Callithrix jacchus: one gene and its partners. The protein of the gene in region 1 interacts with the protein of each later gene in a pairwise test. Links are inferred from orthologs where the notes say so. Each region holds a gene or a part of one and is shown on either strand. Other genes may lie near its edges.

Region 1 (3,747 bases):
TGACATAACTGAAAGCTACAATGTGGGAGGGCTTTTGCCCTCCTTCTAGCCCCACTTTGTCCTGGATTCTTTTGTTTCACTTTTGTGCTAAAAATGTCCTGACTGTGCTGAAATTAGGAACTTTTTGTCTTACCTCTTTTGGAGCTTCCTTTTCTATAAAGTCAGTATATATTTTCCTTGCTTTTGAGGACAACTTTTGGGGTGATTTGGTTTTTTTGAAGTCTTCACAGGCCAGCCAGAATTCAATATTTTCTTCACAGAATTCAGACTTTAAAAAGGCCCTGAATGCAGCAAGACCATCTGAAGAGGGGAGAAAAGAAAGCATGCAGAATGTTAAGAACTGAGTGACCGAATGATTCCTTATGTTCCCCCTAGTACTTCTACCTCAAATTTTAATTATTTCTAAATGACAGTAATTTTCTAGATTTTGCTCAAACCTGCAATTCTCAAAATTTAGCTTTTTAATGACTAAGATGCAGTAGGTAAAATGCTTATGTTGGCACTCTGCTGCAAAAATATAAGTACTTAACTTTGCTGTCAATGCAAAATAAATATTTATAGGGGAGCCATAAGTTCTCTGGGAACTAAGCCTCTTGAAAACATTGTATGCAATGGAAAAACTGACTTGAACTTAACTATAAGCAACTGCCACTTTAATTTTTTTTGGCTATTTTTCTTCCCCACTTGGAGGGAATACATGCATTTATTTCCATTTTAAACCCTGGGAAATAAAGGAGAGAAAAATAGGCTTTATCCTATAGTGACTGCACAATCTAATTCCCTCAGGCAAGCTGCTCTTTTGCAGCATGAACACAGCCTTTCCAGGCTTTTGTGATAATAGCAATGGCTCAAGTTCAAGAATTAACTTACATTTGCTGGCCAGCAGCTCATCAAATGCTTCTGACCACAGCTGTGCTTCCTCAGGAGATGGCCTGAAAGACAAGTTTTGCATGTTAGCTTACGCACATCAGAGTTCCCCTTTTCAGTTCAGCAACTAACTATTCATACTTGCAACTACGGGATTCTCAACTTACTTGGTGAAAGCTTGCTGTTTGCTTTTTTTGCCGGTTTTGGGCTTCCCAGGAGTAGAGGAATTTTGCAAGAAGTAGCTTAAACGGGTCTTCCAATCTTTTAAACTAAAACAACAGAAAAAAATTTTTTAAAAAACATAATCACTAAGTACCAACACTTCAATATGCTTCTGCAGCTGAACGCATTTTTACCAAATAAAGGCACCCAGTAACTAGAGACAAACCGCATAAGGTAAAGCAAGAACTCTTCAAATAACAGTCTTACCACCCACTTAACATTTAAACTCATGTACTGAACAGTTTCATCCATTAATCTGATCGTATCTACTACTTTTACAGCTAAGGGCAGGGCTACCTAGAATCACTAGGAGTATTTTAAAGAATTGTTAATGAATTTAGTTCAAAAGGCAGATACTATTTCAAAAGGATACCAGTTTGTTTGCAAGGTTAACTACAATTCCGAGACGTTTCGCAGTTAATGAAAAGGGCAGACGTGGAACTGTCTGGAGCCAGCCCATGCTTCTGTCTTTAGAGCAGGAGGTTCCTGACCGTGCCAGAGTGTGTACAAAGAGGTGGGTGGGCGACTGATTCCCCTGCACTCTCCCTTCCCCACCTGCAACCCTTCATTTAAGCAGACGCTGCACAATTATTTGTTCCACATTCGTGACTGGGTGAGATCTGCTCTATAATTAAAAAACAAAAATGGATTTTAAACGAGTATATTCAGAACCGGCAAGAGCATCTCCTTCCAGCAGCTGTGTAAAGCGGACCAGCCGCAGGATTCTGATGTCATTTTCAATGCGGGAGGACAAACAGCCAACCCACAATTTCTTAGCGCATCCACCACCGCCCTCCTATCAACTACGTCCCTCGGCTCCTACACTACCCGAGCGTCACCCAGATTTAACGTTACTTAACAAATTGAGCTTTTCGACTTTTTTTTTTTTCCCTGCAGAGGGTCAGGCTAGCTTCCTAAGATCAAAGCCGAGCCGGAAAGCACCGCGTTTGCAGCTCGCGGTGGGTGGCGCGAGAGGGAAGAAAGCCATACTCACAGGGTCCGCTTCATCTTTTCCCGCTTCTCCTCGCTCTTGTGGCCGCTGCCTGGGCTCTTGTCCATGGGTCTGCAGTCGTGTTGAACAGCCAAGAACATAGCACTTTGCATCCTCGTCCTCCCGCTGCTCCGCGGCTGTGTGAGGCCGGCGGGCGCCGCAGTATTTAATAAGAGGCTGCGGCTTGGGGGCGGGGCCTCGCCGCTCCGGCCCCGCCTCAAGAGGACGCGGATTGGCCGGCGGCAGACGCGCGCGGGGATGGGGTCAGCGCCCGCCGGCCGCAGTCACGGCCTCTGCCGAAGGGTCTCGAAGCCAGGGAGCTGCTGACGAGTGCGGCCCCGGCTTCTTGCGCACTCGGGTCACACCGCAGGGCCGGCTGGGGCCGGTGTGGGAGCGAACAGAGACTTTCCAGTGTGGAGAGGTTGCCCCCGACCTTTTGCCGAGGTGTGGCGGCCGGCGGGCTGCGGGCTTTGCGGCGGAGGGGAGCGGAAGTTGGCTGCGGCGCGGCGGGGGGCGCTCCCTCAGCCTCCCTGACCGGCTCCCCGGCCTCGCGCTTCCCTGGCGGGAGCAGGTCGCCCGCCGCGAGGCCGGAGTGCGCTCGCCTGGTTTTGAATGCAGAGTGGGATTTTCTCGTTTTTGTGAGCGCGCCGTCCTGCTGCAGGGACTCGCTCGACACGCCCCGGTCTGTGAACCGAGGCTGCGAGGAGACGCTCGCCCGCTTCTCCCCGCCATTAATTTGAGGAACGGGGTGTCCTGAAACGTGGGCTGCCCAGGGGCGGGCGGTGCGGCCTCCTCTGCAGCTTTCGGGGCGTCTCGAACACTTTGGGGATGAACGTCAGTCGGGGATTGAACGAGGGAAAACGACTGTCTCAGAAGACGGCGCGTTGGGTTTGCGTTTGCTGTCAGTGCTGGGCACGGGCTGGGTCTGCCTGCCCGGTCCGTCCTCGGGAGCCCTCGGGCGCATCTGCAGGCGAAATAGAATCCCAGACTTCCTAGGGTGGGAGAGGAGGCTGGAGACGCGGTTCTCAGCCTAACGCCCCAGGGCCAGCGAGGTCAAGGACTCACATTTCCTCACCAGTCATTCTGGGTTGAGTTGGGATTCACCAGAACTTTTAATAACTGGCAAAAAAGGAGTTAACAGTTTCCCTGAGTAAGTTTGATTCTTCAGGTGTCATCTTTAGTCCTGGAGTGTTTACAGCGACTCGATTGGTAAAGACAAGACAGATAACCTCGACCACAAAAATGAGTTGATTTCGGATAATATTGCCAGAACTAGCCAGTGACATGTTTAAGCGGCTTTGCCACCAAGCTGTAGATATTCTATTTGTATAGACTTGTTTAAAACGAAACTGGGGGCTGCGTGTAGTCACGCCTGTGATCCCAGCACTTTGGGAGGCCAGGCGGGCAAATCGTGAGGTCAAGAGGTCGGGACCATCCTGGCCAACATGGTGAAATCCTCGTCTCTACTAAAAATACAAAAATTAGCCGGGCGTGGTGCCACTTGCCTGTAATCCCAGGTACTCGGGAGGCTGAGGCAGGAGAATCACTTGAACCTAGGAGGAGGAAGTGGCAGTGAGCTGAGACCGTGCCACTGCACTCCAGCCTGGGAAGCAGAGCGAGACTCTATTTCCAAAAAAATAATAATAATAAAAAGAAAGAAAATCTGA
Region 2 (3,647 bases), on another chromosome or scaffold:
GGGGTAGTAAGGGGTCCGTTGGAGGGAGGCACCTTGAGCTTATATGTCCTCAGCTCATAGATGTTGGGACCCACTCTGGGCTGTGGCTCATTCCAGAAGCTGAACTCGAGGAGCAACTGGTTTCTCCTGGACAGCAGCATCTGGCTCCGCTCCCTTCGGAACTCCAGGTACTCCTGCGGGCATGGTGGTAAAGGCACAGCTACTAGGAAGTGCCCTCCATCCTGACAGTGTGCCTCATGGGGTGGCAGAGGAGTCCCCAGCACAGGACTGGGCTGCCTCTAACATCCAGAGAGGTGTGCTGAGAGGACACTAACATACCTTATTGTTTTTGAGCTTGTTCATGCAGTCCATGAGGGCTGGGTAGCCACCTGAAAATCGCCACAGGTGCACTGTTGGGGGTGAGAGGTATAGGTCAGTGGGTTGCTGGGACCCCCAGCAGATGGCCTCCCCAAGGTTAGTTGAGTGTACATGTGGTGGGGGAGGCAGGTGACCCGGTTCCCTGTAGCAGCAAGACTCTCTGAGTTTCCTCTGCCGTGGTGGAGAACCATGCTGTGGAGGGGATGACCCCAGACACAGGTCTAGGAGAACTGGAGTTGAGCTCTAGCTCAGCCCAGTGGCTTTAAACTGCTCTAGGCCTCAATGTTCTCATCTTGAAAATGGGAATAATGCTCCTACCTACCCCACCTTCCTTAAATAGCAACAACAGGATCAGATGTGTCCTGTGCCCTGGGAACATGCATAAGGAAGACCACCAGGCCTCAAAGGGGCAGCTGGACAAAAGGACAGGGGAGATTTGATGGACTGATATGGAACATTCCAAGACAGTGCACTGAAAAAAAGAACCAAGGAACAGAAGAGTATATGTGATATGTTGAGGGGGCAAGGACACATCCAGAGATGCTGATTTACGCATCACCTCTTAATAGCGACTTTAAGAGACTGACAGTAGATGCCCCTGGGACATAGAATGGAGGCCTGTGGGTCCTCATGCAGGAGGGAAGCTTACTTTGCCTGGAAAACTCTTTGTACTGTTAGAATTTCTAAAAACCCTATTATTGGCTAGGCCTGTAAGCATTCTAGGAGGCCAAGGCAGGCAAATCACTTGAGGTTAGGAGTTTGAGACCAGCCTGGCCAACAGGGTGAAATCCCATCTCTATTAAAAATACAAAAATCAGCTGGGCGTGGTGACACACACCTGAAATCCCAGCTACTCAGGAGGCTGAGGCAGGAGCATCACTTGAACCTGTTAGATGGAGGTTGCAGTAAGTCAAGATTGTGCCACTGCACTCCAGCCTGGGTGGCAGAGTGAAACTCCGTCTCAAATTAATTAATTAATTAATTTATAATTAAATTAAATTAAATTTTTGAAAAATCAACTTTGGGAGGTCAAGGCGGGTGGATCACCTGAGGTCAGAAGTTCAAAACCAGCTTGATCAACATGGCTAAACCCCATCTCTACTAAAATTACAAAATTAGCCAGGCATGGTAGCGTATACCAGTAATCCCAGCTACTCAGGAGGCTGAGGCAGGAGAATTGCTTGAACCCGGGAGATGGAGATTGCAGTGAGGTGAGATTACATCATTGCACTTTAGCCTTGGCAACAAGACCTAACTCAGTTTCAAAAAATATTAAAAGGCTGGGCGCAGTGGCTCACACCTGTAATCCAGCACTTCGGGTGGCCGAGGTGGGCTGATTACCTGAGGTCTGGAGTTTGAGGCCAACCTGACCAATATGGCAAAACCCTGTCTCTGCTAAAAATACAAAAATTGGCCAGGTGTGGTGGCGCGTGTCTGTAATCCCAGCTACTCAGGAGGCTGAGGCAAGAGAATCACCTGAACCTAGGATGCAGAGCTTGCAGTAAACTGCGATATTGCCACTGCGCTCCAGCCTGGGGGACTCCATCTCAAACAAACAAAAAACCTCAAGATCAGCCAAGCACAGTGGCTCAGGTCTGCAATCCCAACACTCTAGGAGGCCAAAGCAGGAGGAACACTTGAGCCCAGGAGTTTGAGACCAGCCTGGGCAACATACCAAGACCTCATCTCTACAAAGCAAAACAAAACAATTGGCTCAGGCATGGTGGTGCATGCCTGTGGTCCCAGCTACTGGAGAAGCGGCGGTAAGAGGATCTCCTGAGCCCAGGAGTTCGAGGTTGCAGTGAGCTATGATCATACCACTGCACTCCAAACTGGATGACAGAACAAGACCCTGTCCCAAATAGAAAAATTAAAAAAAAATAAGCCAGGAGTGGTGGTTCACGCCTATAACCCCAGCACTTTGGGAGGCTGAGGTGGGCAGATTACCTGAGGTCAGGAGTTCGAGACCATCCTGACCAACATGGTGAAACCCCATCTCTACTAAAAATACAAAATTAGCCAGGCATGGTGGCACACACCCAAAATCCCAGCTACCTGGTAGGCTGGCTGAGGCAGGAGAAGCACTTGAACTCAGGATACAGAGGTTGCTGAGATCACACCACTACACGCCAGCCTGGGTGACAGAGTGAGACCCTGTTTCACAAGAAAAAGGAAAAAAAAAAAAAAAAAGGCCAGGTGCAGTGGCTCATGCCTGTAATCTCAGCACTTTGGGAGGCCAAGGCAGGCAGATCACTGAGGTCAGGAGTTCAAGACCAGCCTTTCCAACATGGTGAAACCCTGTATCTATTAAAAAATATAAAAATTAGCTGGGCATGGTGGTGGGAATCCGTAATCCCAGCTACTCATGAGGCTGAGGCCGGAAGATCACTTGAACCCAGGAGGGAGAGGTTGTGGTGAGCCAAGATTGCACTACTGCACTCCAGCCTGGGCAACAAGAGCAAAACTCTGACACAAAAATAATAAAAGACGGCTAGGTGCTTCGGGAACCATGGCTTAGGTGCAGACATGGCCAAGTCCAAGAACCACACCACACACAACCAGTCTCGAAAATGGCATAGAAATGGCATCAAGAAACCCCGATCACAAAGATACGAATCTCTTAAGGGGGTGGACCCCAAGTTCCTGAGGAACATGCACTTTGCCAAAAAGCACAACAAGAAGGGCCTAAAGAAGACACAGGCCAACAATGCCAAGGCGATGAGTGCACGTGCCGAGGCCATCAAGGCCCTTGTAAAGCCCAAGGAGGTTAAGCCCAAGATGCCAAAGGGTGTCAGCCACAAGCTCCATCGACTTGCCTGCATTGCCCACCCTAAGCTTGGGAAGGGGCTCAGGCTCTGCCGGCCAAAGGTCAAGGCCAAGGCCAAGGATCAAACCAAGGCCCAGGCTGCAGCTCCAGCTTCAGTTCCAGCTCAGGCTCCCAAAGGTGCCCAGGCCCCTACAAAGGCTTCAGAGTAGACATCTCTGTCTGCCAACGTGAGGACAGAAGGACTGGTGGGACCCCCCAGGACTGCCATCTGCATGGGGCTGGGGTCCTCCTATGCTATTTGTACAAATAAACCTGAGGCAGGAAAAATATAATAATAATAAAAGACGGGTGATCCAGTTTAAGCAGGCAAGGAAGAAATCATGCTTAAGGCAGAAGAAAGAGCATGAGCAGTAGTCTGGAACTAAAGAATGAAACTGTCAATCTGAGGAATTGAGTCCTGGGCAGCACAGCACTGAGCAAGGAGGATGTGGTGCCGTGAGGCTGGAGGTGGGGCTGGGAAGGA
Region 3 (3,647 bases), on another chromosome or scaffold:
TCAAGTGCCGTGATGGGCCTCACAACTGTTCCCTGCAATGTTTCTCAGAGTTTCAGAGCTTATTTGATTGAGCTTCTGATTCCTAACTTCTGGGTCACATCAGAAGCAAAACTTGAATGCTTTTGGAAAGAGCTAGCCCCATCCAGCCTCAGTAGGGAAGGGTGATACTGAGGTGTATCTTGACAGGACAGTAGAGTGACCGCTGGTTCTTCGAGATTCCTCTACTCTTGCAAGAACTGGTGTAAAACGATTCTAAACCAGGCCTATGCAGAGCACGAGACTTCTTGACCAGCAATGCAAACCAGTGGCATACAGATTCAAAATACTGTGTACAGGCTGACTCGGCCCCTCTGGAAGGCATCTGGGGGATGTGGCCCTCCACGGGATGGCATCTTGGTTATGTGAGATCACCAAGATACCAGGCCTGTTTCATGAGAATTCTCAGGTCACTGCTGGATTTGTGGCTAATAAAAAATAGAGGCCAGGCACGGTGGCTCACCCTGTAATCCCAGCACTTTGGGAAGCTGAGATGGGTGGACCAGCTTGAGGCCAGGAGTTTGAAATTGGCCTGGCCAACATGGTCAAACCTTGTATATACTTAAAAATATAAAAATTAGTTTGGCATGGTGGTGGGTACCTGTAATCCCAGCTACTCGGGAGTTTGAAGCAGGAGAATAGCTAGAACCTAGGCGGTGCAGGTTTCAGTTAGCTGAATTTGCACCACTGCACTCCATCGCCGATGACAAAGTGAGATTCTGTCTCAAAAAAAAAAAAAAAACCACCACCACAGCTCTGTAGTTAGTTCTTAAGGGCAAGCTCATCAAGGACTTACACAGATGGTTGATGGGGATGCAGTGGGAAGTTAAGCTGAGGTCCCAAGAATCCTGAGGGCATGCAGTCCCTGGGTGTGATTCTCTGCAGGGCTGAGGATGGCAGTGACAAATGACCTCTGAGATGCCATCAGAGCCGACTTTGAGTTGAAGGACAAACCTTTTATTGGCACAGGCATTCCTTAACTTGACAGCGTGAAGCAGGAATTTTTGAAAAACAGTAAAAGCTGGTTTCTCCTACACTAGTTTCATGGTGGTAGTAGAGATCAGGGTCGGAAGCAAGTCACAGCCACTAGGTTTCGTTCTGAGCCATGCTGTTAGGAGGCAATCTGTAAACTAGCACGGCCTCCCACTGTTGCACTCCTTTATCCGCGTGACCAGCAGTGTGCACGAAAAAGAAAACTATTAAAAAAGAATCATGCTGAGGCCAAGATCAGAGTTTCTGACACTGCAAACCTCGACAGATGCAGGGGCCCTGGGAGAATGTGGCTTCTCCACAGGGCTCCAAACACCATCTGTCCTCTGATCTTGGAGCAAATGTAGAAAGCTACTTGCTTAGAGGTACTGCTGAGGGGGGAACTTGAATCCTGATAGGAACTCTGCTTTCTATTCCTGAGCCTCCGTCTTGCTCCTGGAGATGGATGGATCAGGGATGGGGCAGCAGGCACTCCCTACAGCACTAGTCATGGGGAAAGGAGCTCCGTGCTGGCAGCAGTGGCTCACGTGGCTTAACTGTCTACACTGCAGCCATCAGTCCACTGAGCAGGCTCGGAGGTAGCCGGGAGTCTCCTTGGAAAACAGCTCTGATGGTTGATATGAGGTTTGGCCAGTCCAGTTCTTTAGGCCCTGTATCTTACAGGGACGCAAAGATTAAGACATTTCTACCCCCATCCCTGACTCTGTGCAGGGAAAACTACCCCAGGACAGGACCACAGCAGATTAGATATTTCTCCAGTACTGATCGGTGCGTGGAATTCCAGCCACCACTTCTGATTCGATTCCACAGTGATCCTGTCCTCTGAGGATTTTAAAGAAGCCTGGGAATAAAAAAAGGTGCTTTTAAAATGTGACAAGGGTCGGTATATTCAGACTCATCCCTAAAAAAGCTGGGAGTAAGTCTCTAACCCCCGACAGCTCCTGCTGTTTGCTCAGTAGCGCGGCCCTCACACCATGGGGCACACCTCCGCCCGCATCACCCTTCCCATCCTGGCCTCTGGCATTTAGAAGGAGCTCACAGCCTGGCCTAGGTCCACAGTTTGAGGCTGTGCAGCAGGTAGAACAGAGAAAGCCAAGATGGCCACTGCGTGTGGCTCCCAGTTCCCCACCACTCACCGTTGTCACCCCAGTCAGTGTTCCAGGAGTTGCCAACCAGCCAGTAGGGCGTGCCATTCTCCACGCCCCAGCCCAGGATGCGGATGGCGTGGCCGCCCATCATCTCGCCAGTGACATGCTGGTATACTCCTGAGTTGGGAAGAACCGGTCAGAAGTGAGACCCGGCCACTGCCCCGTGCCCCACAGCACCCCTCCGGGCAGGAGAAACTAAGGGCTTGTCAAAAGGGTTACATGGCTTAAAGAGTTTTAAGGCCGGGTGCAGAGGGTCATGCCTGTAATCCCAGCACTTTGGGAGGCTGAGGCGGGTGGATCAGGAGTTCTAGACCAGCCTGACCAACATGGTGAAACGCTGTCTCTACTAAAAATCAAAAATTAGCTGGGCATGGTGGTGCCCACCTGTAGTCCCAGCTACTCAAGAGGCAGAGGTTGCAATGAGCTGAGATCATACCACTGCACCCCAGCCTGGGCGCTAAGTTTTAAAATAGCTGCTCTGGGTACACCCTGGAGAGGTGACAGAGGAGAAAAGGGAGGGCTGGTGGTGGCCAATATTAGATGGGAAAGAGGCCAGCTAAGATGCTCAGCGCTGCCCAACCAGGTTCGCCCCAGCAGGGAAATCACTGTCAAATAGAAACGCATTTTTTAACAATATGGGCGAGGACTGTGCTAAGAACCACCATCTTTAGTCATTTTTTTCTTGCCAGAATCATTTTCCTTTGTCAAACTGTTTTATAAGAGCTGAGAGCTCTGGAGTTTCCAATCTAGCAAAATATTAATGAGACTCAGCAAAGACTGCTTCTGCAGCAAGATATTTGTTTGAGATGGAGTCCTGCTCTGTTGCCCAGGCTGGGGTGCAGTGGCCTGATTTCAGTTCACTGTAACCTCCGCCTCCTGGGTTCAAGCAATTCCCCAGCCTTAGCCACCTGAGTAGTGACTAGCTGGGACTACAGGTGCACACCACCATGCCTAGCTCATTTTTTGTATTTTAGTAGAGATGGGGTTTCACCATGTTGGCCGGGATGGTCTTGATCTCACGACCTCATGATCTGCCCATCTCAGCCACCCAAAGTGTGGGGTTACAGGCACGACCCACCGTGCCCAGCCTACTGGAGGAGAGATTTCTAAGACAGTACTTGGGGGTAAAGACTATCCAGTTTCCTTCGTTCGAGTCCCTATGGCACTGCCCAGGGCAAGGTCCTCCCTGTGTGTTCATGCACGAGGGTGACACATGATCTACACCTTTGCAAAGACACAGATGAATAAAGTGTGTCACCCAGTGCAGACAAGGAAGACCTGCCCTTATAAGGAGAACATGCTGGGAAAGAATGGAACGCCATGACGGCAAGGGCAGGTGTGGCCAGCCGCCAGCGAGGGGACACCTCCACAGAGAAGACATGTGAGCTGGCTCCTAAGGGATGGGAAAGAACTAGCCAAGATGCCTCCAGAATTCTCTGTGCACAACACAGATGAAAGGCAAGTGGCACAGAA

What was found.
Region 2: the proteins of RGS2 (region 1) and NIPSNAP1 interact in a two-hybrid assay, tested with the Homo sapiens proteins (2 studies listed by BioGRID and IntAct). The link is inferred for Callithrix jacchus from reciprocal best matches to the Homo sapiens genes RGS2 and NIPSNAP1.
Region 3: the proteins of RGS2 (region 1) and CTSB interact in a two-hybrid assay, tested with the Homo sapiens proteins (2 studies listed by BioGRID and IntAct). The link is inferred for Callithrix jacchus from reciprocal best matches to the Homo sapiens genes RGS2 and CTSB.

What each region holds. Positions count from the first base shown.
Region 1 is NC_133519.1:49,997,648-50,001,394, reverse strand, and holds the start of RGS2 (regulator of G-protein signaling 2), read right to left. Parts: upstream 2,224-3,747; 5' UTR 2,194-2,223; coding exon 2,084-2,193; intron 1,137-2,083; coding exon 1,035-1,136; intron 933-1,034; coding exon 871-932; intron 301-870; coding exon 134-300; intron 1-133. UniProt on the Homo sapiens protein: Regulates G protein-coupled receptor signaling cascades. Inhibits signal transduction by increasing the GTPase activity of G protein alpha subunits, thereby driving them into their inactive GDP-bound form.
Region 2 is NC_133502.1:200,168,969-200,172,615, forward strand, and holds part of NIPSNAP1 (protein NipSnap homolog 1), read right to left. Parts: intron 3,431-3,647; exon of another isoform or gene 3,334-3,430; coding exon of another isoform or gene 2,884-3,333; exon of another isoform or gene 2,738-2,883; intron 390-2,737; coding exon 319-389; intron 174-318; coding exon 33-173; intron 1-32. Other genes in the region: large ribosomal subunit protein eL29-like, read left to right, coding at 2,884-3,333.
Region 3 is NC_133514.1:10,221,184-10,224,830, reverse strand, and holds part of CTSB (cathepsin B), read right to left. Parts: intron 2,292-3,647; coding exon 2,163-2,291; intron 1,868-2,162; coding exon 1,770-1,867; 3' UTR 1-1,769. UniProt on the Homo sapiens protein: Thiol protease which is believed to participate in intracellular degradation and turnover of proteins. Cleaves matrix extracellular phosphoglycoprotein MEPE. Involved in the solubilization of cross-linked TG/thyroglobulin in the thyroid follicle lumen.